Linked DNA regions of Diceros bicornis minor. The protein of the gene in region 1 interacts with the protein of each later gene in a pairwise test. Links are inferred from orthologs where the notes say so. Each region holds a gene or a part of one and is shown on either strand. Other genes may lie near its edges.

Evidence for each region. The genes of interacting proteins can lie anywhere in the genome.
Region 2: the proteins of DLC1 (region 1) and RASA1 interact in binary tests that used the Homo sapiens proteins (3 or more experiments, as listed by UniProt). The link is inferred for Diceros bicornis minor from reciprocal best matches to the Homo sapiens genes DLC1 and RASA1.

Annotation. Positions count from the first base shown.
Region 1 is NC_080768.1:25,141,079-25,149,342, reverse strand, and holds the start of DLC1 (rho GTPase-activating protein 7), read right to left. Parts: upstream 3,210-8,264; coding exon 2,187-3,209; intron 1-2,186. UniProt on the Homo sapiens protein: Functions as a GTPase-activating protein for the small GTPases RHOA, RHOB, RHOC and CDC42, terminating their downstream signaling.
Region 2 is NC_080740.1:14,384,524-14,392,112, reverse strand, and holds the start of RASA1 (ras GTPase-activating protein 1), read right to left. Parts: upstream 3,267-7,589; 5' UTR 3,193-3,266; coding exon 2,675-3,192; intron 1-2,674. UniProt on the Homo sapiens protein: Inhibitory regulator of the Ras-cyclic AMP pathway. Stimulates the GTPase of normal but not oncogenic Ras p21; this stimulation may be further increased in the presence of NCK1.

The DNA.
Region 1 (8,264 bases):
ATTTTGCATATTCTTAGTTTGTAATATAGAGAGATTTATACCCTTGTCTATATCTATATCTATATCTATATCTATATCTATATCTATATCTATTTCTATATCTATATCATCTATATTGTCTATATCTATGTCTATCTATATACACATTTTGTCATATAAGGTTGGGATGTGCTATACGTATTGGTCTATCACTGTCTTTTTCCAGATACACTATATCATGAGCATCATTCAAAGTTAGTGCATGTGGATCTCACCCCATCTTTTTAGTGGCTTCATAGCATTCCATACTATAGATAAACAATAATCAAGCAAATTCTTTACTGGTGGAAATTTGAGTTGTTTCCTTTCTTTGTCACACAATAAAACGATGAACATCTCTGTACATATATTTTTATGAATTTGTTTTATTATTTCTTTTGGTAAAGTTCTAAAATGGCTGATTGCCAATTCAAAGGTATTTTAACACTCTTTCAACAACAAATAGAACAAAAATTCCTACACGTTTTGATTTTAGACACTTCTTTGAAAACTGCCTTTTTCCAGAATAAATTCCATATCTGAAATTTTACATTTAATCTGTTTATTACAAAGCATCCCAAATGAGTTGTAGAGTCAACGCAAATATTCCACCAGACAATGCCATAACACTTTAGAATGATGAAATGTTTAAAATAGAATATTTAAGTTAGAACTTGTAAATGAGATATAATTACAGCTCTCACAATGCAATCATGCTATAGTGACATGTCCAAGAGCAAATTCTTTCCAGCATTCTTAGTATTGATATAAATGTCCAAGTGGTGAGCATATGTTTCTGGAATGTTTAATGTTTCTGTCAGCAGTTGGGCAGGGTTTGTCTTATTTTAGGGGAACTATGTCATAGGTCAGTTAATACTTTCTTAAGTCATTATTGCATTCCCTCCAACAGATTTGATAGGATATATGGGCATTTCTGAAAAAGTGACCTGAGCTTTCCAACCATAACAACTTTACGGAGCATTAACATTTAAATACAATTTAAGGAAGGAAGAGTTTGCCAGAAGCACAGAATGCTCTGTAGGCATACAATTTGAGCACATTGATCATTGCTGTAAAGTCTTTGACTTCACTTAAACTAGCTTATGACATGTTACTGATCTAGTTTGTTAGCAAAACCACAGTTTTTGGAAACCAGATTTCTTCACCACAAAGAGAGTTGGAGATTTTTTTTCTCAGTGTAGATAGCCTCAGTTGAACAGAACTAAGCACATTAGTTTTGTGTTAGCAGAATTGCAATTATAGATTAATATTGTATCAAAAGTGGGGCAAGGATGTTACCCTAAAGCGTCCAATCTGCAGGGTTTTTTCAATGCCAATGGCCATGTTGGATTTACAGAAGAAATTGTACCTGTATTGACACTAGGATTATAGAGCACTACATTGTTGGAAGAATTTGGGGGAAATCCTAAAGATAAGGCAAACTTTGGTCAACAGCTCACTAGCTAAACTATGCTTCATGTAGCTCCACTCCAATCTTTGCTTCTCTCATCTGGAAACTTCTTAACGGAGCATGGCGTCTATAGATTAGTCAAAGGGGCTTTGGCATGAAAAAATAATTTCAGTTATTTGCCCTTTTTGGTGAAGAGTTAAAGAAAAGTTGATATATGTATTGATAGTGAATGTGCCAGGGTATCATTTAAAATAGCATCAGCATATCTTGGTTGATGGAGGGGGTACTATTGCCTTTGTATATGTAAAGGGATCATTTTTAATATGTGATTTCTACTATTTTTACTATGATAAAATATACTTTTTAAAGGGAGAAAGAAACAGGCCCAAATAAATGATATTAAATAAAAAAATACCATGACTTGTTTTCTAAAAATTAGATAGGGCTTGAAGTGTGAGCTATCTGGTGGCTATTTAATTCCAACTAAAGAAAGTGAAACCAATTCTGTCTTCAATACAATTCCAAAATAGAATGTTCATAAACCACCGTAAATATTACTAGTAAAATGGATAGGTTATTATATTTAAACTTTTACATATCTTGATGGTTTCCCCAAGAAGATCCTGTCTGAGTTATACAATTACACTGCAGGTACACTACACTACAATATCTCTTTAATCCTAGCAAAATAATAAGTGATGGAAACAAGGATATTTACAAAATTCCAAAAGCCAGATAATCTGTGCATGTGTCTTACCTTTCTTTTGCGAAGTCTGACTTGGTTATCTGTGGGTTCCTGGGTGGCCAGAGTCTCCTTTAAGTGTAAACACTGCATACCATCTCCTGAGTTGACCCTTGGAAGACTTTTGTTTTGATGTTCTGAGAAACCACTCTTCTCCAGGTCATTTTCAGCTGACATTCCCCTAGGGCAGGAAGGAGGCTGCAGAAGGCAGCTTCCAGAATCTGCTTTCAATAATGGCAGTCCTCTGTCTGTACAAGGAATAGCCAAGAACTCATCTTGGACTAGACTGCAGGTGTTTCTTTCATGTCCATCTTTAGGGAAGTCGGGTTTCCTTCGTTGCTGAGCAATTACAGCAGAATTAAGCAATTGCTTCTCAGGCACAATATCTTTCACATTCAAAGAATCGCATGCATTGATTTTGGATGCCTCTTTTATTTCACTTAAGCTTATATCATTACAAAGCTCCAGGCTTTTGCTTATAATGTCGACAACCTTTCTCTCCCCCCTTTCTTCTACCAGCACTAAATCAGCTCCAGCAGCCATTCCCCAGGAGTTATAAGAATCTTGGTTACTTTCCATGATGGGCAGTGTCTTTACCAAGGAGCCCGCTCCTGTGACACTATGTTGGTCTGATGTTTTACGCTCTTGGGTAATTAAAATCTGTTTATCATCTGGAAGATACAGATCGGAATCGGTATCCTCATCAGAAACGTGCACTAGCGTTTCCGTGCTGGCCTCCAGAGAAAGAAACTGATCTTCACCTTCTTGGCTGTCATTTTCATCCACCTTTTTTGAAATGTGACCCATTGGCCTCCCAGGAAAATCTCTCAGCTCTGATCCAGGACAGCAGTCTGGTAGTGAAGCACACTTTTCTTTGCGGTCCACATTTAAAGTTGCATCTTTTTCCATACTTGCCTGCAAGCTGTCAGCTCCTAGTCCATGATGACATGCTGTGTTATAATCATCAGAATTAAAAGGCTGTCCCATCCATTGGGTCACATGTTCTTCCCAGCTTCTCTTTCTGATAGCAACAGACATGTCATCGTAGTTTAACAACAGATAGAGAGATACATTCCATATGAGACTACAGGAGATGGAGTTTGATGAAATATTACTTCAAATTCACTACTTGAAGAGGAGAGTGAGTTTTGTCATTTCACCACCTATTAAAAAATTTAAAAAAACACATAGTTCAGGATATAGTTCTAAAGTCAAAATATATCTTGTAGAAGAGAGCACTTAATCTGTACTATGAAAGATTAAGTAAGAGATTTTATAAAGCTTCTGTTTAATAACTTTAATAGTATTACTTCTTTAAGAAGCAGCTTAATATTAGAAGAAAATTTCCCATTTTATATTTCTGGTCAAAAATTATTGACAATACTTTTAAATGCAGCTGGCCTGATTGTTCTATTAATGAATAAAAATATAAATATTGAACATTTAAAACTCCATAAAGAAAATATTTGGATTGCAATATTTAATAAAAGTCACTGGAAGAAACTTGTTGCTCTAGCTTACATGCTTTCCTGGTTTACTTTTGTGAACACAAGTCATTACAAAGGCCACTAGGGAACTGTTCATGCAAAATTGAGCTGTAGAGATAGCACATGTAATGTATTAGTGTGTGAAAGAGCTAAAGCAGATTCCAAATTACCAGGATGTATTTACTCCAGGGAGTGACTGAGAAACATGGAATAATCCAGTTTAGCTCATATTAACACATAATTCATGGATAAGAAAGCATAACACATACATACACAATGCCTTAGGATAAACACATTTACATGCATTCTATTACTGCTACTACTAGCTAGCAAGCTAGTATCAATGAAGTTTAGAGAAATTAAATGACTTGCCCAAGATTATACATCGAGGAAGTAAGCCAAGATTCAGACTAAGCCCTGGTTCTAAGGCCCAGGCTAAGACAGCCAAACTTTCTTGTCTCCATGGAATGAGAGTCTACCTCTGCCCCTTCCCTCCACATATCTTTAGTATGAATAAAATCTAAACTCCTCAGGCAAGAGTTCAGGTGAACCAAAAAGAAGATACGCGCATGATAACACAAGTGGGACAATTCTTCAGAAATTTCAGTCTCGTTCTCTTTGGCTTCTAAGGAGTTTGGTTTGTATACTTCTGTTAGAATTTGGCCATAAAAATTGAAGTAAACAAGAAAACCAGGCATAAGATAAGGTCAGAATATAAACACATTCCAGGTATCCATTCTTTTGCCTTGAATTATTCAAACTCTTCATTAAAGGAAACAAATTATACCAATGTAAACTCAGCCTTATAAAAACGACTGACCTAAATGTTGTCCCATAATGAAACCAAATTACTGCACTGTAAAAGAAATATCCCATTCAAAGAGCAGACACGTCTGGTTTTTACTCCCCATAAGAACTGTTAGCACGTAACATGGATTGGCTTATTGATTTTAGCCATAAACAAGATTAACTGCTGTGCTGGTTTTGGGTCACTTCAGTCTATTGAAAAGGATTCTGACTCCCCACCAAAAATTTCAAGCTATTCTGACTAAGCACATGCCAGAAAGGTAAATATTCCCATCCTGTAAAGACCAGTGAAGTTGAGGAATGTACTAGAATTTGGTACTCCAGCCTGACCAAATATCTTTCTGGATACTATTTGGTTCCCTCAAAGGTCTGTACCATCTTTGAAAATGGTCAGCATTCACATTTTCCATGTTGGCATTCATTTTGCACTCAAAAGAAAATATAAAGTCCCTGAATTCCATGCATAAGTCATTATAGTGTGGGAGGCTACGGAAAGTGGAAAAAACGCATAGATGCAGGCCAGAAAATTTCTGCTTTCATGGGCAAATTTGGGTTGTAATAGGGCGGTTCTGTTTTAGATGCTTTCTTTCCTTTATTTTTATCCAGGGTAGAAAGATCAGGGTAACTTAAGAAATGCCAAGTGGTGTTACTGTGTCCTTCCTAAGCCACATTTACATTTAAGTTGAGACTGAATTCTGGTTTCATTTCTTTTACTAAGGAAAAATAGAGTTTTATTAACCCGTTGGGGAACAGATTACATACAAATTTTGCTGTTAAGACCTTACCATAATATTAATTAACTTATTTCACTCAACCTTGGCAAGTAGGTAAGTATTTTTATAACGTCAAAGAAGACAGTTCAACAAGTTCTGAGACAATCTAGCTGCAAAGAGGGATTGTAAATTAGATAGATTCAACACAACATTAACTCCTTCTGTCCTAACTTCTAATCTAGCTTCTTTGGACATTTCGAGATCATTCTTGTGAAGGTACAGTGTCTTTAGTTTTAGACATAAGTTTCCTAATTGTGATTATGACCATCATCACTACCTTTTGAGTGCTCAGTCCATATCCTGTGGTCTCACAGATTTTTAAAAAATTTATCTCTGCAAGCTTTCTTATCCATACTTCCTATTTAAATTCTGATTTGTAAGATTTATAGTTGAAATCTGCCACTGTGTTCTAAAGGCTGAACAGAATATTAATAAAAAAGAACATTGGATTATCGTCCATTGCATCTGAGAATATTAGCCTCATTTTCTAAATCATCTGAATTGACTGGAATCCATGCTGTAAGATTGAAACGTCTTTGTCAAAGACCCGACTTTCCCTGTGAGTCTCCTCGCCAGGCTGCCTTATTTCAAATTATATTTCTACTTACTAACTACTTATTTTGCAAATTTGTATTACATTTTTTTTGGTAATCCTTTTTACACAGTTTCATTCAGAATGAGCTCAGTTGCTGAAGACTGGGATGAAGGATCTGGAAAAGTGTAGGTCATTCTAGGGTGTAGATTTTATGAAGTGTATTTCCATGGGGATTTTTCACTTCTTAAATTCGTGTGTTCAAACACCATTATATTCATATTACAAGAGACTCTACGTACCTCTAATTATGTAACGATTCTGGAAAATATTTGTGAAATGTCCAAATTTTCTTTTTGTGATATTAGTGCATAAGATGTTTAGACACAAAGTGATTTCAAATTTATTGTTTGGGTTAATTTTGTAACACCATTTCTTAACATAAGCGTTATATGTCATACGGTATGTATTTTAAAGTTAATCAAAATTGAACATTATTGTACTAAAAAACAACAAGAATTGGAGACATTCTAATTTGAGAATCACTGACCTGTATTTGATATCAATCATGCTCTCCTTTGTACTTACTTCTGAAATAAACACGTGCCTTATATTTTGGCCTGGCAGTTGTCCTTAGGGAAGAAGAGCCTCACGATAATCACTATTACTGATTCTGTAGCCTGGGAGAACATGGTGCAAATGAAATACTTCTGGCTGAAATCAAGCGGGCATTACTGTAGAACTGACAGCAATGCTGTTTTATCATAATCATTTATTCAACAAGTGTTTATTTAGTGCCTAATGGGCCGCAGACACTCTGCTAAACATTGGGAATATAAACTTAAATAATATATTCTACCTTTCCTAAAGGAGCTTACAATTTTATGGGAGAAACTCATGTAAACAAAAATAATAAGTAAGTTTTCTCATGGCCACAAATACCACGGAAAGATTAACACAAAACAAGGGGTCATCAATTCCTCCCTCCCTTGCTCCTTTCCTTCTTTTCTTTCTTTTCCCCTTTCTCTTTTCTTCCTTCCTTCTATCTTTCCTTCCTTCCTTCCTACCCTCCTTCCTCCCTCTCCACCTCCCCTTTCTTTCTCTCTTTCTTTCCATGAGTGGTATCAAAGATGGTGGACATGTTAGGTAGGGTTTCCAGAAGAAGCCCAGGTTTCCAAGAGGAAACACCTGAATGAGGGTCTCTGTGGTTAATAACATCCAGGTCAAATGGGAGTTGAGGTAGTGTTTCCTGCTCTGTGGAAGAAGTCCTCCATTTCTTTCTGGCTTCAGATTCTTACTATTCTAGAATCATCTCTTTGGGAAAGATAGCAGAGGCAGCAACAAATTCCAGAGATTTACTTACAACTTGAAAATTCATTGGTCACCTTAGAGGGAAACCACATTTCTCAGGAGTATTTCAGAGAAAATTGAGAGGAGAGATTTTTAAAAGAAAAAAATTTCAGAAAATTTCTGAGAACTAATGACCCAAGTCTTCAGGTTGAAGGGAATCCACAGAGTATAGTAACACAAGGAATAAAAATAGACCACACCAAGAAACATTATTGTGAAATTTCAGAATCTTAGAGGTAAGCAAATGATCATAAATGTTATCAGACAGAGAAAAAATACATTATATATTAGGTATTGGGAATCTGAATGCTATTATATTTCTCACTAGCAACACTGGAAATAAAACAGTCAAAATACCTTCAAAATTTTGATGGGAACTTATTTCTACCTTAAAATTATATGAAGAGCCTTAAATTTTTTCCCTCTTCTCAAGAAACTACTAGAGGGATAGTTCCACTCAAATGAGAGAATAAACAAAGTGGGAAAGACATGGCAACAAGGAAGCCGGGAATTCAACACAATGACCAGGGAATGGAATTTCCAGGATGAAATTTATGTACCAGGTCTAGTGGCCAATCATTTCACGTAGATTCTAAAGTTCTTTACAAAGGATGTCTCTAAGGAAAAAACATAGAAATAATAGATCATATGATGTATGTGACCACATTGAGAGGAATTTTATAATAAAATCAGACAATTTAAGTGGAAGAATTAGTAACAATTACATAGGAAACTAGGGAAAATCAATTATTAACTCCAGGAAAAAAAAAGGTTTTAAAAGAAAGAAAATGTAATCATAGTACACTACTTGGCTTAGCTGTGAAAATTTTGTGTAGCCAAAATAATGCAAACAGTAAGTAGTAACAATAAGAAATTACAAAAGAGCTATTTTCAAAGCACAGGATTTGTGGAGGACAGGGTTAGGGATGACGGAGAGAATAGTTTCAGAGAGCTAAGTCTTCATTTTCTACAGTAGGAAGTTAACAGATAATGTCTAAAATGGAAAAAAAGTAGTATAATCATATTGGTTAGAAATATGGAGGTAAATGTCAGGAGAAATAGCTAAAAACAACTTAGAGTGTTATGATTCTGTGTGTTATTTGCCTGAGATAAAGAAAATTTTCTGAATCTTGCAAAGCGTGTT
Region 2 (7,589 bases), on another chromosome or scaffold:
CCAGCCTTAAGTAATCTGATGAAAATGCTCAGTAATAAACACAAGACTAATGATTCACCATGCACACAAAAAAACAAGGTACAAAATACTAACAGCCTTAATATATTGGCACTGGTCTATCTACATACTGTCACTTGACTCTCTTGTGAGCAACACACCACACTAGCTGGATACAAGGTGGAACCCTAGTCTAACAAACCACTGTGGACTCAATCTTGGGACCCCAACTTCCTTAATACCATGCTATCAATAACTACAGTGAACAGTCACTAGTCAAATATTAATTTAGTCCAAAAACATTTCTTCAATACTTTTATGGGAAATTTGACATTATTTAACCAAGTCACTAAGGCTTTTTCCTCCTTTCATTGAAAATAGGAATTTATAGAAAACACTTGAATTTCATCTCTGAACCTGCTTAATCTGCTAGAAGCTTTTATGAAGTAAAAATAAAATTTTAATATAATTAATTATGGCAGACAGGTCTTTGGAGTTCAAAACATTCTCTCAAATAGCTATTAGGAAAAGAGTCCCTACACCAATAGAATTAGTAGGCAATTTAATGACAATAAAATTATATTCTTGTTATTTGGGGAGACTATTTACTAAACACTTACTATGTGCCAGGCACTGTGCTGAATATGTTCAAGGTTTTCATTAAACTTTAAAAACGACCATATGAGGGAGGTACCATTATTATCCCCATTTTACAGATGGGGAAACTGACCTTTCCAAGATCACACAGCTAGTAAGTGGCAGAGTCAGGATTCCAACCCAAATCTTGTCTAACTTCAGAATTTGCACGCTTAACCACTACACTGTATTGCCTCCAGTGACTCTGGGTTGATATCTAAGATAAAGAAAAGAGGGAAATTTGTACTTCTCAGTGGCAAATTTAAAAAACATACTAGAAATGGAGGATACTTTTTAGAACATGAACAATTCTCATATACAGTCATACAAATATTATTTTTATTCCTAAATACATATAAGTGATAATGATGAAAATCTTACACAATGGACTTCTCACAAACACAATTTGTTCTATGTACCCATTCATGTTTATTATTAAAAATTTAATGGGAATGCTCTGTATTTTCTGCTCAATTTTGCCGTGAACCTAGAATTGCTCTACAAAATAAATTTGACTTAAAAAAATTTAGAACTACAATATACTAAATATGCCTAATTCAATTCAGTTATGAACTGGAATAAGACTATATTCTTTCAGTATGAAAAGTTGCACTTTATTATAACCACAGTGCTGAGCATATAGTGGGCACTTAATATTTAAATCTGACTTTTTCAAAATGGCTTGAAGGTGAAACAGTGCTGGAAACTGGAATTTTTAACACTCTCAGAACACCTTTAGAAAAGTCTGCAATACATAGACATAACATGATAAGTTGGAACAAAATTAGACAAAAAAATTTAACTCATATTGAGCACTATAAAAGGAATACAACACCTCTATACTATGGCTGACATAAATAAGACTAACTTTAATTTTCCACCTTAAGTATCAGAAGATGTAGCCTTAAGTCAAAAATGGATTACTACAGAATCTTTTCCTAAGTCATTTTTTAAGTCCTTTCTAAATCCTCCAAAGATGCTTATCCAAAAAAAAAACCTTTCAACGGTCCAGAGTGACTGTGAACATATAAACCAAATCTTTTTTCCTCTGATACTCATCAAAGGTTGTCGAAATTCTAAAGGTCAATTAAGACAGATCTGAGTGATCTATAAAACAAGTTTTGTCTACTATTACCACTTCCCATCAACATTTTCCTCTCCTCAAGGTCCACCTTTATAAATGCATCCATAAGTTAACCTAGGTAGAGAACAAGTAAGGGGGAGGTGCTAACTTTATATAGAAAAGTCATTTGTCCTATATATTCTGCAGTAGACTGTCAAAATTAATTCTCAAATAAAATATTGTATCGGCCACCAAGAAAAAGTGTTGAAGGGAAGTACACTATTAATTTGTTTTACTTCAATGTTGTACTTACAAAGTCACAACTATAAAAGAATTACACTAATATTAATAAATGGGAATTCTATGGCACAAGTTACAAACATTGCTGGAGTATGGGCCCTTAATCACACCTGTAATTCACGGAACTCCTTTCCTTCCTCGCTGACCCACGTTTTCATAAGTGATCCAAAGACTTTTCTGCACCTCTAGGTTTTCACTAAGCAGAAGGTGGGATTTGCAGTGCAACAAAAGCAAAGCATTCTGACCAATGCATGTTTCAAATGATATCAGTACAATACTGATTCAAATACTCGTATTCAGAGCTTCTCACTCATCATCTAGCTTCAATCGGGAACACACACAAGTTAATACAGACTATGACTGCCTAGGCGGCTGCAAGCTCTGCTGAATCCCAGGCCGCCAGCTCAATTTGGAAGGGGCAGAACCATATCCGGTTCTCACTGGATACACATTTTCCCATCTTAAAAACTTTACATCTTCCCAGAGGAGCAATAAATAGACAAAGACGCCAGGGAGTATGCCTGTGGGGAAGATGAGAGATCATATTAAATCCCTACGCATGGAACCTGAAGCTTCCAAACTTCTCAGAACAAATCACAGCAGAAAGAACGAGGTACGTTTTCCCACTTCTTTCCAGGAGCCAGCTTCCCCAGTCCCAGAACAGTGGTCTTGACTTACTGGTTAGTTGGAGGAGCGGTCAGCGGGATGGCCACCTCTTCCTCCTCGTATTCTGGTCCATCCAGAGAGTCACCTTCGTCCACTGTTCCCAGGCCGGCGCCCAAAGTGGGCAGCTGAGGAGGCGGCGGCAGAGGAGGGAATCCGCCGCCCGCCCCGAAGGGCTCGGCAGGCAACGAAGTGGTCCCCTTGGTGGGAGCCATCTCCCCGCCAGGTCCGGCGGCGGCAGCACCAGCCACGCCAGCAGCAGCACCTCCCCCTGACAGTCCGGCTCCCCCCAGCGCCCCCGCCACGGACACGGCCCCTAGGAACCCTGACCCCGCAGCGGCTCCGCCACCCAGAGTCCCGGCCACTGCGGCCTCCGCCAGCCCAGGATACGAGGCGGCTGCCACAGGCAGGGCCGCGGGGATCTTCACCCGACACACTGCCGGATAGGCACTGGAGCCCGCGGCCGCGCCGCCTCCTGCGGCCCCGGCGGTCACCGGGCCGCCCTCCTCACTGCCGGCCTCGGCCGCCATCATGTTGAAGCCCGCTCGACTCTGCCCTCCCCTGCCCGCCCGGGAGCCCCGAGGGCCACCAGGCCCGGGCTCCGAGCCGCCCCACCCAGGCGCGTCCCCCCGTCAGCTCCCCAGGCGGAGGAAACAACAACAAAAGGAGAGAGCCCGCCGCCGCGCCCCCTCCTCGGGCCACAGCCCAGGCTCCGGAGCTGCCCGGGTTACGGGAAGCGAAGTGGGCAAAAAACCCAACGCCTGCACAAACGCCGCCCAAACCTTCACCTTACACACCCACACTCACGCACACACACATGCACAGAAGCGAAAAACTTCCTGGCTGCCCTAAAGAGGAAGGGAAGCGCAGGGGAAGCGGCTGGGGCGGCTGCCGCTCCTTCAGCCACCGCCGCCGCCGCCGCCACCGCTTCTTCACCACCCCAGTTCCGGCCACCTCCACCGCAGCCACCGCCGGTGCCGCTGCTGGGGCTGGGGCCACTGCAGCCGCTTCATCCTCCACCGGGCTACAGATGGGAGGGGTGGGGAGATAAGAGGAAGGGGGGCGGGGTACTGGGGAAACCGACTGAACTGCTCCCAACCTGGAGCGCTCAGTGAAATCGACCAGAGAGAAAGGAAGGCGGGGCACAGGAGGAGGAGCGGAGGGAAGGAAGGGCGGGGGAGGAGGGAGACGGCGCTTCTGCGCAGGCGCGTTCCCGGCGCGGGGGTGGGGGGGCTGGGCCTGGAGGGAGGAAAAGGAAGAGTCGGGAGGGACGGAAGCGGCGGGGACGCGCGGGGAGCGGACGCGCCGGCTGTCCCGCTCCGGTTCTGGCGCGTGGCGGCGCGGCCGCTCCTCCCGTCGGTGTCGCCGGCGGCGCGCGCCTGCCTCCCTGGGCTTTGTTCGGTGGGCCGGTGGGCCGGGGCAGGGGAGGAGTGAGTACCTGAGCACGCGGCCGCCGGGCGCCGTGAAGACGGGAGGGACAGGGAGGCGGTGAGAGGACGGAATGGGGAACGGGAAAGGAAGATGCCGCGAAGCCAGTGCCCCACTTCCTGACCCGTAGAAAACACACCCTTGGCCCGCGGCGCAGAAACCAGACGCCCAAGGCCCCGGGGGAAGGTGGATATTGCTTCGAAGGTCCAGGCAGTACTATTAATGTTTTCATTTTCGTTGCCTAATATAAATCAGTGTACAACTATTACAAACTAAAAAATAAAATGAAATAAAAAACTAGGTTCTGAAACTCAAGAGAAGAAAACGAAATGGATAAAGGGGTCCATATGAGGAGGGCAAGGAATTTTGGTGGAAATAGTGGTTGTGAAGCCAGATTTCTAGACACGTTTTGTTTTCTTCACCAACCATCCGTATCCTCCCTCCCCCCCACCTCCGCGCTTGCGCTCGCTCTCTCGCTCGCTCGCTCTCACACACACACACACACACACACACACTTACCTGTGCCATAGCAAGTTTGTTGAGTACCATTGCAAGTCGGTTGAGTATTAATGAGGTGTGGAAGAAGAGGGATGCCAGAGACATCACTAATCAACGCACTTTTGTCCTCGTTTGTGTGCGAAAGACGGCAGGGCATGCTTCGCGATGCACACGTGAACGCACAGAGCACCTTCAACAAGGCGAATGTCAAGAGGGTCCCCAAGTGCCGGTTACAATTAAGTATAGTTTCAAAAATTAGAAATAAACTGAAATCTCACCCTTAATATAGCCAAAGAGATGGGTTTTGTTTTGTCTTCTATAATAAAATATATGCATTCGTGTACGTGGAGGAATCATTCCCATTGTTTGAAATTACAGTACCAGTAATTTGCCCTTTTGGATTCATATATTGTTCTTATCTTTTAAATTCTCCCAGGAGGAATGCCACATTAAATACCATAAAATATTGATCTCAAACATCAATATTTAATCTTTCTAAATATCTTTTTAATATTTAATCTTGATTTAATCTTTGAGATCAATATTTTCTCTGCTAAAGATGATCAAACCAATATAGTACCACATAGGGCATGGGAAGGGGCTGTTATAGAGGCCCAGGAAAAAAGGAATAGACCACTAAAAGAGGGCGAAAGGTGCACGCAAGACATTTTCCTTTACTTTAGAAGTTTGCATAAGCCTATTTGCCAAATCACTGACAAACTTGATTAAACGGTAATCCTGAGGACTCCCTCATCGTGCTCACCTCCTATGCAGTGTACCACTGGCAGAGTGAAGATGAACTAGTCACAAGAGTGGTCTCAGACCAGCACTATCCTAGGAACTGGTAAAAATGCAAATTTTGGGGCCCCACCCCAGACCCTCTGAATCAGAAACTGTGCGGCAATCTATGTTTTAATGAGCCCTCCAAGTTGACACATTTACGTTTAAGAACCGCTGTCCTAGAGTGTAGTATGCTAATCAAGAGGGAGGTGTGCAATTATCCTGAATGAGAGAAAGAATAGATGAGAAAGCCGGCTCAATGTCATTCATTAGGTAGGTGGGTAAGAGATGTTGGTATTGGGTTGCTAAGCTCTGTGCTGTTCTAGAAAGGAGGTTAGAAAATGAGAAAGTGCATAATGAAGTAGAGCCATGGTCTTGAAGAGAATAATCAAGTCCTACTTCTTACAGTCACCTCCCTGAAAATAGTTTTTCTTTTAAACTTAGACCCTCAGAGTTAGAAGAGACCGTCAAAGTACCTATTCCACTCACTGGCAACAAATTTTCATGTAGCCTGTGCTTGAAAGCCTGCAGTGTGTTAGCATCCCAATCCTGCAACACTCCCACGCCAATTACCATCATCAGCCTCTGAATGTAGGACATTATTCCGGCAGGTTATCGCCAGCTCTTGGTTATCACTGATCTTCTCTAAGTGCCCACGCACTATCTGAACACTGCCTGAGCTTCCAGATCAGGCTCACTACTCTAATTTGCACAATTACCTCCTCCCCCTTTTTTGAAAATTCTTTAGCACTTAAAGGCCAATATTTAATGCAGTCCAACACCAACTGTATACTGAGTTATACTGTTTTCTAGTTACTTTTAGGTGTATGTATCCACAAAACTATTCTGCTAAGAGAACCTGTGGTTTTTCCTACTGCCTAGCCCTGTGCTAGGCATCCTTGCCAAATGCTTTAACAGATCTCCATCCTTTTAACAAACGCTGGATTAAATCAGCTCACATCTTTGGACATCAGTTGCTCTACTAGTAGGAAAGATCTGCTATGTCTATTTGTATATCAACCTAATACCAGTATCTTACCTTATATTCAATCTTAGAGTTGTGCTTTTTCATCCAAACAGACTACCACATTTTTTTGATGAGGTATTTTCAAATATTTTATATACTCCTTTTACTGGACAGATCTAGGCTTTGATCACTATTTCTTGGGTATTTCCTTAATCTCAAATCAGTCTTCTATCTTCAGTGACTTTATTTTTTCCAAAAGGGTTAAATGTTTCTACCTTCTTTATTTTTGTCTGTTGCCTTTTTTCTTTTTCTACTTACCTTGATCTTCTACCCTTCTCTCATTTATAGTCTCATGTTCTCTTTTTTTCTGTTAATTGCTCCCTCAGTTTCTACTTCTGTGTTTCCCTTTTCTTTTCTTTCAAGCCCCTGAATTTTCTGACATAAGACTATTCTCCTTGAAGTATACTCCTTGAAGTTTCATGAGTCAAAAACCAAGAACAATTAAAAAAAAAAAATTATGAAATATCTATTTGGAGAGAGGCGTTGGTGTTAGGTGTGGTGTTACATAACATCAGTTAACAAAGGGAAGTAAACAGTCTGTTAATTAAATTCACAGATAATATTAAACAAGGAGGTACTGAAAAACAGAACAATATACAAAAGAAAAGAGAGGAAAATTCAAAATAGATTTTACCTTTAGTAAAACAATCTATGGCATCTGTGATTTTAGAAAAGTTACTCCCAATATTGAATTAAACATAGTATTCAATGAAGAGTAAATAATCAGAAATGCTGGACAAAGACTTGTGGGTGAAAAGAGTCTGAACATTTAGTTTAAAAAAATTAATTTGGCTCATTCTGATTTTATTGGCAACTCAAATATGAATAATACATTCTGAAATATTTCACAGTTTTAATACCTCAATATGTGAAAAGGTAATTCTGGGTCAAAAATACAATTTTAGAGAACCTCAAGGGGTTCAGAGCAAATATATGAGGAGTTACTGAGAGGAAGACTAAGCCAGAAGTGATAAAGAGCTTACACCTGTGTTTGAATAATCCCAAATGTGTTTTAAGCCCCAGTACATACTCAGCTGTACAAATAGCCTTCCAAATATATAAATAGTGTAAAAAGATTTCCATGACCCAAAAATTTTGAAAGGAAGCCTTTACTCCTAACCTCTAACATCCCTACTGCATTTGTTGGCCTCATCTTAAAATCCTCAACAGCACAAATTTCCTCATTAGGGAGATGTC